2 linked regions of the Caenorhabditis elegans genome follow. The protein of the gene in region 1 interacts with the protein of each later gene in a pairwise test. Each region holds a gene or a part of one and is shown on either strand. Other genes may lie near its edges. The genes, in order: nhr-1 and F23A7.3.

Region 1 (4,993 bases):
GACTGATCACTCAAATTGAAGCCTTTCAAAAGGGTGTTTTTCATTTGAGAAGAGAAAATAAGCAAAAGTTCCAATAAAGTGTCTATAAATTCGTGAATTCGTGAATCCGCGGCTTAACTCAAACCACAGAGCCACACCAGAGATCAACTTCACGTGTTTTGGTGTGATTTTCCCGCCGGAAAAATAACCCCAGAGGTCAAAGCTCTAATTATCACGCTTCTTGTTTTGGTGTCGGTATCTTTAATTTGCAATCCCCTGGCTGCTCCGTAGGATGTCATCAAACGGGTTATTGTATATTCAGGAGCTCTTCACTTACCTTTTGCGTCCATCCCCACCAATAGGCATTTGTTGAAGCGGCAGTGACGGCATGCACATCGAATGTCTGCAAGTAGTTTTTTTTTAGTTGAAAAATGCTTTCAAAATAAGCAAAAGTACATGATCAGACACCACCGGACAATTTGCGATTTCCGAGAAAATCTAGAGTAAAACTCACTTTTATTAACATCACAATTTCCATTATATTGGCAAATGAAGGTTTGCTCACTGACTATTGTTCGTCGGAAGAAGGTTTTGCTGAAAACAGATTTTTAGGTTTGAAGTGAGGAGATGATTTGAAAACTGTCACAAAATTTTGTGAAAAATATATTCAGCGGAAACTTATGATAAACTTGCTTTCAAATGTTCAAAAGTGTTTCCTGAGGTTTCATTTTAATCAAACCTTAAAGTTTATTCGATTTTTTATATTTATTTGAAATACATTTTATTAGCTTTCGAAAAAAGTTATTACCTTCCTCAAACCGATGTCACAAAAAAAAATTGTGTACCGATTAAAATTATTTTAGCCAGCTTTTTCGAAAAGTTTTTAAATTTTCATTTTGCAAAAGTATACTTTTTAAAGGCTAAACATTTGAACAAAGATTAGACTTACAAATCACCATTTTTGGCTTAAAACTAAAAAACTTAAACTATTTTTAACATGAAATACGGCTACTAGTTAAGTACCCTATGTTTTTTGAGTTTTGAAATAGTAATTGACAATTTTTTTTAAAGAAAATCGCAACCAAAATTTCAACAGTAACATTGTTCTGGGGAACACCATCTAGTTCTTTGGTCTTGAAATATTGAATTACTCAATTATTCTAATGTCTCTAATGTAATCTCTCTCTCTAAAATCCAATCAAATTATCAAAATGAGTGAGAAAATCTTGGTACCCTTATGTTGGAAGAGAACATAGACCATCATTAATTTCCTCAGAGCGAAAGAATTGGGGAGGAAAAAAATGTTTCGTGGATTTTTCCCCATCTTTCTAAATTGCCTCGTGCAGCTACTGCTGCCACTATTGCTCTATGTGCTCTCGAAAGCGTGACGCGATTTTCTACTTGATCGCTTTTTTCGCTTTTCTCCCCTTATTCAAAGGGTCTTCTACTTTTACTATTGGCCGAGATGAAAAAAAGAAAAGAGAAAAAATTGAAGACAAGGTGAACTTGGCATGTGTGGTTTTGACAAGAGCAAGCAAACCAGAGAACCAAACCAAAAAAGGAGCCCCTCCATATTCACATAGTCTATTGAGTTCATTGTTTGCTTGTTGGTCACTGAGTGAGGACTAGAAATTTTGGAAGAAGGCAAAACCTAAAGACCAACAAGACACAAAAAGGCCAAGTTTTAAAGGGCCCCTCCTAAGCATTATCACATTTCACTCAGTTTTACCCGTCTCGCTTCAGGCAGCGGAGAGGGGAGGAAACGGATAGCGGAGTGAAGCAAAGAACACGATTGTCCCCAGAGAGCTCAGTGAGCTCCAGCTTCCTAGTCTCATTTGGTGGGGGTCGAGTGTAAAAGTCCAACGTCATTTTATCTTTTCTGGCAACAACAAAAAAACAGCCACGTACCATCCATTGCAGCTAGCCACTCCGTAGTGATATCCAGTGGCAAGGTCCGAGCAAACTGCGCACAGCTCTCCTTCGGGCACTTTCCTTCCTAAAAAAAGTGAAATTTAATATTGTTGGGGGGTTAAGCGTGTTTAAAGAAACTTTTTGAACTGTCTAGGTGGAGAAATCGTAAAGCTTCAAGGTTCGGGAATTTTTAGAGGATTATTGGAAATTTAAAAATTTTTATAAAGTACATTTAAAAAGTGTTATTAGAAATTTTGCAAAAACTATAAATTTTATGGAAAAACCAATTCAACAATGTTGTGTTTTCTTGCAAATTTAAAAAATTTCAGTTCACACTAAACTGACAACACTGTCTCCTCAGTTTATTTCAAATAGATTTGTTTTAAAATTGAATTTACAATTCAACTGAGAAATCACATAGTATTTAAAATGCGGGAATACACAAGTACATCCAACCAATATGATCTTCACAAAAAAATATTTTGAAAAACTGAGCTGCCGAATAGCAAAAAAATGTTGTCAATGTACGCTAGTTCACCTAAATGCTTTGTTTTTCTCATTTCATATTTTCAATTTTGTAAATTCATAAAACCTATTCAGCATCAAAACAAAATTATTTTGAAGAAAGAAACCACTGGGAAAGAGCATGATAATTTACTAAATTTTCCAACTTTCCGAGTAATAAAACGGATAAAACTTACGTTGAGCCATTCGCTTATAAGACGGAAATTTTTGATCATTGCCCATCGAGGATGAGCCGTTGGTGTGGGAAACGGAGGCGGCTGATCCATTCATATACATTGACGGATCCTCGTTGCGTTGCGAGTTGACCATTGGCTGCCCGTAGTTGGCCAGATGGCTTTGCAGTTGATCGGCCAGTGTACCGTTCATACTATAAAACACGTGCATTGGTGGTTCGCCGCGGTGTCCCGAAGAACTGTAGGGGGAAGACGACGGAGCAAAGCACACGTCGTCTTCGGTCGCCAGTCGTTGGTGTTGCGCGAGAATATTTAGTTTCCTTAGTGAGCACACCACCGCCACGTCGTCTCAAGTAGACTACGACAACGAAGGGTGAGCACGATCAAAGAAAAAAAATGAAAGGAGCAGTGAGCGAAGAAAACTGGGAGAAGAAGCTCGGCGAGCTGGAGAGAGCAAAGAAAGAAGAAGAGTGGTGAACTGGGCGGAGCTTGTGGGCGACAACGCCAGGGCCCCCACGAGAGAAAGGGGGCCGTGAAGGGAAGAAAAATGCAATGGGAAAAAAGAAGAAGAAAAAAGAAACGACGAAAAAAAACACGAGGGACCAACGAAGGAGAAGCTCAAAAAATGAGAGGACTGCAAAGGGAAAGGAGACGAATTTTTCCATTTCCTTTTCAACTCAACCATAAGCCTATCTGCTCCATCTTCCAAAATTTCATTCCATTTGGAATTGCTCAATTTGAAACAAGAAAAAAAAATATTGAACAGGTTGATGGATCAAGATGCTTCCAATCGAATTGTTGTGCAAAGTCAGGGGAGGCTTGTAACTTGAATTATGCTTTCTGATATCTGATCAGAGATCGAATTAACTAGAGTCTTTGAATTCCAAGGTCATTTCCGGAGAAACAGAAAACATGTTTTTTTCTTGTGGAGACGATAGAGACCTTTAAATGTTTCTAATCCAGTTAATCAGCCAAAAATTGAAAAAGAGCAGAACCTATATAGTTTCGAGATCTTAAATAGTCTGAAAATAAGATCTATACTTTAAAAAGTTAAATTAACAGAACCATCATGATTTTGAACACTGAAAATTAAAAAAAAATCTCAAAAAGTCGCTGAAAAGGATATCATTTTATCTAGAAAATTAAAAAAACGCCAAGATAGAGGTTGAGCAAAAAAATGCAAGGAACTTTTAGTTGTGGCAATTTTGAATCTAAGTTTCAACTGGCTCAGTGACCTAGGTTATTTTTAGTTTCAAAAATCGTAGTCAAAATAGGACAATAGTCAGGAATGTTGAACGAAGTTTTTTTTAGATTTTTAATGTTCCGTTAATTCCCATCCTTATCTACTTCCTCTGGAAATAGAGTCCAATCCTTTTTTCTGTTGTTTTGTCAAGGTTTTCTTTTTCCGCAAGAAAAAACAGCCAACGTTCTTCCTAATCTGACACCTTTTTCATACCACCAAAATCCGTGGTGTTGGCAGAAGTTTTTTGGATTTTGAAGAAGTAAGCTAATACTCTCAAGGATTATACGATCACTCAGAATATATATATCAATTATAGTTAAGAGCAAGGCACCAACCAACGACTAAAAGCGCAAAAGGCAAAACCCCAAATCTAATCCAATCCATCAAAACTTGATGTGAATGAAAAAAAAAGAGCATGCCTACAAAAAAAAACTCACATTCGGCGAGCGGCGGAGGCTCGTTAATTCGGAATTCGGTTGACGTTGTGTGCTATGTATGAGAAGTATGTGCGGAGGATACTTTCTGAAAAAAAAAAACGAGAAGATATCGGATATGTACACGACGGTGTTTGAGTAGTCGAGTTTCGAGAACGAGGTGCATATGTGTGTATGTGTGTTACAAAGATCGAGAGATGAGCAAAAGAGCAAGAAGATGGAGCAAAAGTTCTTTTTGGAATGACCAATAAGTTGAAGGTTTTGAAAATTATAGTTTAAAAAAAGCTTTAGAAATAGATATTCGAGAAAAAAAAGAAACCATGAGTCACATTTACCATAATATTTTCTTGAACTTTTATACCAGACAGTGTAGACTTTCAACTGTGCGATCAATCAGTCCATACTCTTTTGATTTCGAAACACGTAGATCAGACCATCGTCGTAAAGTTGTGTGTGTTATTTGTCATAAAAATATCTGTCAGCTGATGAAAGGGAAGAGACTAAATTTGAGAAACTTGTCAAAAATTATGAATAATGGTAGAGTCAACGTCACAAAATTGATCAGGCAAGAGAGGAAAAAGGGGGTGGCACAAAAATAGAAACAAGAGCGTGTTTTCGATATGATCAGAGGCAGGGCGGAGGGTTGTTGATAAAAATAATTCTGTTATTGATTTTTTCATGTTTCACTAGATTATTATTTGACATATTTTTAAGAGTAAGTTTAGGAG
Region 2 (6,211 bases), 1.3 Mb from region 1:
ACGAGGCAAAAAGGTTTCTAGGCCATGGCGAGTCCCCGACAAATTTCAGCGGCCATTTATCGTGCTTTGTTTTCTGCGTGTTTTCTTTCATTTTTCACCGATTTTTTCCGTTTTTTCTTATCAAAACAAATAAATAAATATTTTTTGCAGATGCTAAAACAATTTCCAAGTGAAAAAATTGTGAATTCAGTCGGCAAGTAGCAGTGAAAGTGGGCAATGTAATATGATGGATTACGGGAATACAAAACCCAAACTTTTTCTGAAACATAATATATATGCTTTTAAGATGCTGATAGTACCTGATTTTCATAACGAGACAGCTAAAAGAGTTTTTAGATTATCAAAATTCAACATTTTGTGCCAAAATCTCGACTTTTTTACCAAAAAAGTTGAATTTTGAAAATCTCAAAACTTTTTCAGCGGTCTCATTATGAAAATCAGGTACTTTTAGCATCTAAACATCATATGTATCATGTTTGGGGAAAAGTTTGGGTTTTGTATTCCCGTAATCCATCATATTACATTGACCACTTTCACCGCTACTTGCCGGCTGAATTCACAATTTTTCATCTGGAAATTATTTTAGCATTAACAAAAAATATGTATTTATCAGTTTTAATAAGAAAACACAAGAAAAATCGGTAAAAAACACAAGAAAAGAAAGCAAGTAGAAAATGTCGTAAAATGCGGTGTATTGTGTGCAAACACCGATTTTTCGCATTTTTTCTCAGCCCTCGTTCGAAAAAAGTTGCAGTGACATGTTCTAATACAAAAGTTAATAACATTAGACGACGTTCGGACCTATCCAGCAAGAGAGTTGTGAATAAAAATAAAATGGGCGAGGAACATGTTCAGGGAATGGAAGAAGACGGTTTGAAAGTTGAATGCCAGAAATTTTTGCATTTTTGTGTGATTGGTTTTGTTGATTGAATACGCAGGAAACACGTGCATCCGTCTGAAACATTGCAAAATGGTATACGTCTACACATATATTATAGCGCACATATAGTGCGTCCAACTGGGACACCCCTAACTTTAGGGATTTCGGATATTTTCGAACTTTTTCGGGGAAAACTAATGCGGGAATTGGATTCAGCATATCAAAAAACCTATGTACCTACAGTTTCGTTCTGATTGCTCAACAATTGAGAGCAAAAGAGCAAAAAGTTGAAAAATTGACCGCCCAACTGCTATGGGGCTCCCTCAGATTTTCAGAATTTTTCACGAAAAGTTCGATTTTTCGAAAAGTGTCACGTTGAATAACATTCAATCACATGTTTTGCCAGTATATTTTTTGGTTTTCATATCATCGAATAAAGATGAAACAGGAATCCTTCCAATTTTCACATTTTAGTACCTTGAAGCCCGTTTTGAAGCTACTGCATTTCCAATGCTCACCAAACTTCCAAATCTGGTAAATTACACATCATTTCACATTCTGGTGCATTTTCCTACATTTCGCACTTTTTTGAGCCATTTTAAAGATGAATTTGTACTTGGCTTTTCCCTATTGTTTGTTTCCAGAAGGCTTCTGAGCTCTTTTCTGAGCAACCGGGTGAGTTTTCGTTACGAAATTTTCTAGACATGTTTCTCACAACCCACTTATCAAATTTTGCTAACAATAACTTTATCAGCTATCTGTACGGCTTTACCCTCTCTTGTCATTTATTTTAAGACAATCTAGGAATCTCATTCGTTTAAAAAATTTGGCAATTTGCCAAAACTTCGATTGTTTAAAAATTAAAAGGATTAAAAGACGATCCGTTCTTCAATGTACTGCGGATCTGGAAGTCAGGTACACTGCCGAAAAAACTTTTTGAAGTGTTTTATTATAATATTCGGTTGTTTCGAATTATTAAAAATGTATTTAGACAAAATGCTCCCTGGCGCTACTCCACCTTTAAATGCATATATTTTTGGCCACGTACATACCCATGTTAATTAAAAAACCTGAAAAAAACTCACCAATGCAATCTAGGTCCCAACTCTTCGTTGCTTGTTTATCAAACCCAAAAGTGCAGATACCATATTATCATTAGCAGTTTTGTTCTCAACAATTTCTTTGTCCTTGGCTACAACTTCCTCTTTCAACTTCGAGATCGTTGAAGTGTACTTTTCAACTTCCTCCTTATGCTTGTTCTGCATCTGGAAAACCATTTTGGCAGCCACCTCAGTATCTTTTGACTTCCATTGAATGTGGTCTTTGAGTTGCTGGATTTCCTCGTGGCGTTCGAAAAGTTGGGTATCCTTTCTGTTACAGTTAGTTTGGAGTGTTCTGTGTTCCGCTTCCAAATTCATCAGTGATATTCGAACTTCTGTTAATTCGCGTTTTGTCTCGTAAAGGTCTTTTTTCATTTCATTAAATTCTTTGTTTGTGTCTTCTTCCAGTTCATCTCTACATATAACAGGCCAATATAATTTCAGATTGCCATTTGGTAGCAATTGAATCGATTCGATCTACATAAGCATTAAAATTTCAAACAAATCGAGAAAGAAACAAATATCTAACCTGGTGTGGCTCAGCATCTTGTTCAACTGCCACAAAATTTGTCCCATCGATCTGAAAACATACATAATTAATTTATTGTTGGAATTCCCGTTTTTTTCTTTAAAATTTGATAAAGTTTACTTTTGGAGCAATTTTAAAGCCCTCGGAAGTAGTGTGAGAATGCACTGTTAAAATTTCAAATTCGACTATTTCTAGTTTAATCTATCTAAAAGATTCGTTTTATTATGATTATTTCCAATTCATGAAAAAGTATAATTATTTTGAAAAATTGGCTCTGCTTCTATCTTGGTTTCTTTTTTACGCTTTTGGGTCACACTTTTCCACGAAAAAGGAATTTTTATATTTTTTGTATATTTTCAATGAAAAATTTAGGGGTCGCAAATCTGAACGTACAACGTCCGGACCGGACGTACGGTGTCCGGTTTTCAAAATTTTGAAAATATACCAATAAGAAGAGTTTCAAGTCTGCCGACAATTTCCGAGTTTAGCCACTCACTATACTCATAAGCTCTATTCAATTTTATAATGAGTAACCAAACTCGCAAAATGTCGGGCGACGTGAAAACCTACACATCGGAAAAATTTAAAATTTGTAAAAACCGACGACGTCGGATTTTCCAGCTCCAGAGAAAATTGACAAAATAATTCCGAAAATGAGAAAAATTCATTTCAAAAAAAAAAAAGCAAAAAAACCTGTGTTTTCAGTGGGCCGGATTTGTGATCGCGAAGTTTCTCATACAACATTTTCAGCTGATCATTTTCCATCAGTCGCTTTGTATCGGGCGAAGAAACTATTGTTGGGAAATACGCAATGTACTTTTCGTTTGATGTCTGAAAATTTTTAATTTGTTTTGAAAGATAGTGGGTCAATTTTGATTACTGAACCCGACCAGTTCTTGATAATTAAAGATGGAGTAGCGCCATTGGAAAAATTGCTTTAAAAGATGCTTATGGTACCACAAAGACCATGACCAAAAATCATAGTAAAAAAATTTTTAAAAATTTTCTAAATTTTATATGATTGTTTGAAAAATGAACAAATCTCGAATTGCATCAAATTCCCATTTGATTTACCTCCAATAGTTCGATGTTCGATGGAGCGCGCTTGCCTTTTTTAATTTTTATTCATCAATTTCTCTCATTTTTGACTTATTTTTCATGTTTTTTTGTGTGATTTTACTAGAAATTCAATGAAAAATTCAAGATAAATGTAGATTGTCCACTGAAAATAACTGAAAACAAAGAAAGAACGTTTTTCAACGACGTTTAGCCTGAACAAATCTATTTCACAGGTTTAGGCTTTAGCGCCCGCTTTTTAATGAAAAAAATTACAATTATCTTGAATTTTTCAATTTATTTCCAGTAAAATTTCTAGAAAAAACATGAAAAATCAGTCAAAAATGAGAGAAATTGATGAATAAAAAATTTAATAAAATGGCAAGCGCGCTCTATCGAGCATCGAACTATTGGCGGTAATTCAAATGGGGATTTGATGCAATTTGGGTTTTTTTTGTTGATTTTCGAAAAATAATATAAAATTTAGAAAAAATATTTCAAATTTTTAACTGTGATATTTGGTCATTGTGGTACCATAGGCATGTTTTGAAGCAATTTCCCCACTGGCGCTAATCCTCTTTAAAAAAATTACCTCTTGGTCAATTTCCCAAATCATGTTTTTAGGAAAATGTGCTATGACAAAAGGGCCATCACTGGGAGAAGTTAGACCTTTGTTGACTTTTTTGAATTCAAATGCGTTTGGCTTGTCCTCGGCCGTTTTTCTTTTGCAAATGATTCGTACCATTTTTTGCTGAATTAAAAATATTACGTATTTATGTATATAACGTACTTTTCATTTAGTATTGTATCCCATAATAAATTATATACATATATATATATATATATATATATATATATATATATATAAAGTGCTGGCCAAAAAGATATCCACTTTCTGTTTTTTGATGATTTCGATATTTTTTCCATTGAGCATAACTCCAAAACTAGGAAAGCTATCAAAAAAGTTTCAACTGGTAAAATGTAGCTCGTGATCAGGCCTATGTATTTTTACATGATTAAATTATTCACCCAAAACATGGCAAGTGATAAAGCGGCCGACATCTCGTGAGTCCGCTTTTGATGATGATTACTAAAACGACTGTAACTCGAGAAACATATTTTTAATGGAAGGTTTTTAGAAAGTAACACGATGTTTATATAATTTTTTATTGTTTGAACATACTAACTTCGTCCTGAAACCTCCATTGAAAAAGACAAGAGAGTTTAAAGAAGAGAAGTGTAGAGTAATATCGAGCTCATTTCTCAAAAATAGTAGATTTTTTTTTCTGAATTCTGTTTATTGGTTAATATGTAGTTCAAATATAATAACAACATCAGTTCTTCACAAAAATTGTCGGAAAAAGATTTTCAATCCAAGAAACCTGATTTTTGAACAAAGCCTCTAAACAGTGTCTAATGAGACACTAGTTTCAGCGCACACATTTTTTTAAATGGAGGTTTTAGGACAAAGTTGATATGTTCAAACAATGAAAAATTAAATAAACATTTTGTTACTTTCTCAAACCTTTCATTAAAAATATGTTTCTTGAGTTACAGTCGTTTTAGTAATCATCGTCAAAAACGGACTCACGAGATGCCCGCCGCTTTATTACTTGCCATGTGATGGATGAATAATTGCAACATGTAAAAATACATAGGCCTGATCACGAGCTACATTTTACCAGTTGAAAATTTTTTGATACCTTTCCTAGTTTTGAAGTTATGCCCATTGGAAAAAATATCGAAATTGTCAAAAAACTGAAAGTGGATATCTTTTTGGCCAGCACTGTATATATACGCAATTAGTCGTCAAACGAGGTTGCATTTAACAACGTAGCACGTAGGGTCAGAGTGTCCCATTTTGGTTTGAACTACGTAAATCTACGAGAATTGGAAGGCAGAATTTATAAGCAGACTTCTCCACTGATTTCGCATGGTTAAGAACGTACCGACGTCACATTTTTTTGGAGAAAAATTCCCGCAATTTTTGTAGATAAAACCGTAATGGGACAGCATGACACAATGTGGCTTAAATTAACTGAGCTTTTCACTGAATTAATAAAGGAGGAAAACATTCAAAAAATTAAACATATCCCGCGAAGTCACTGGGAAACTTTTTATGAAAAGATGAAATAACGCGTGAAGCCCTATTAGCTGACACACTCACTGATATGCAGCAGCTATTGAATTTTTTTTCATTACGCTGCTTCTCAAAAAAGATAGTGTTCAGTGAGAGGCACAGACGCTCGCTCAGACTTCAGAAACATGTGACATGTGAGAGACGCAGACATGTGCTTTAGCGGTGCAAAAAAAGAGCAACGGGAATAGTGACGTATGAAGCTCAGACCAATTTCCCACAAAAACTACTTGCAGTAGATTTTGTGAAGCAATAACATAACTGAAGGTATTGATAAGGAACCGGTTGATGTATACAAGTCGTTCATCAAGCGCTCTGACCCAAAAAGATTGAACAAAACGGGTAGTGACTTTCTTTTATGCAAAGTCAATTTTCCGAACTGTATTTTAAAAAATATGAAAAAATATGCCATCCAAAATTTAAAAATCATTGAACAAAACAATGCAAATTGCATTATACGTCAATCACAAAACTATACATGGCCAGGCTGTTGCATTATTGTGCAATGC

Evidence for each region.
Region 2: the proteins of nhr-1 (region 1) and F23A7.3 interact in a two-hybrid assay, tested with the Caenorhabditis elegans proteins (one large-scale study listed by BioGRID).

Annotation. Positions count from the first base shown.
Region 1 is NC_003284.9:17,517,805-17,522,797, reverse strand, and holds the start of nhr-1 (Nuclear hormone receptor family member nhr-1), read right to left. Parts: upstream 3,064-4,993; 5' UTR 2,782-3,063; coding exon 2,592-2,781; intron 1,976-2,591; coding exon 1,888-1,975; intron 1,816-1,887; exon of another isoform or gene 1,607-1,815; intron 574-1,606; coding exon 494-573; intron 383-493; coding exon 317-382; intron 1-316. UniProt on the Caenorhabditis elegans protein: Orphan nuclear receptor which acts in concert with the insulin/IGF-1-like signaling (IIS) pathway during osmotic stress, perhaps in response to a ligand modified by the sulfotransferase ssu-1.
Region 2 is NC_003284.9:16,218,115-16,224,325, reverse strand, and holds F23A7.3 (Crinkler (CRN) family protein), read right to left. Parts: upstream 4,317-6,211; 5' UTR 4,311-4,316; coding exon 4,158-4,310; intron 3,341-4,157; coding exon 3,203-3,340; intron 2,561-3,202; coding exon 2,510-2,560; intron 2,458-2,509; coding exon 1,975-2,457; 3' UTR 1,966-1,974; intron 956-1,965; 3' UTR 598-955; downstream 1-597.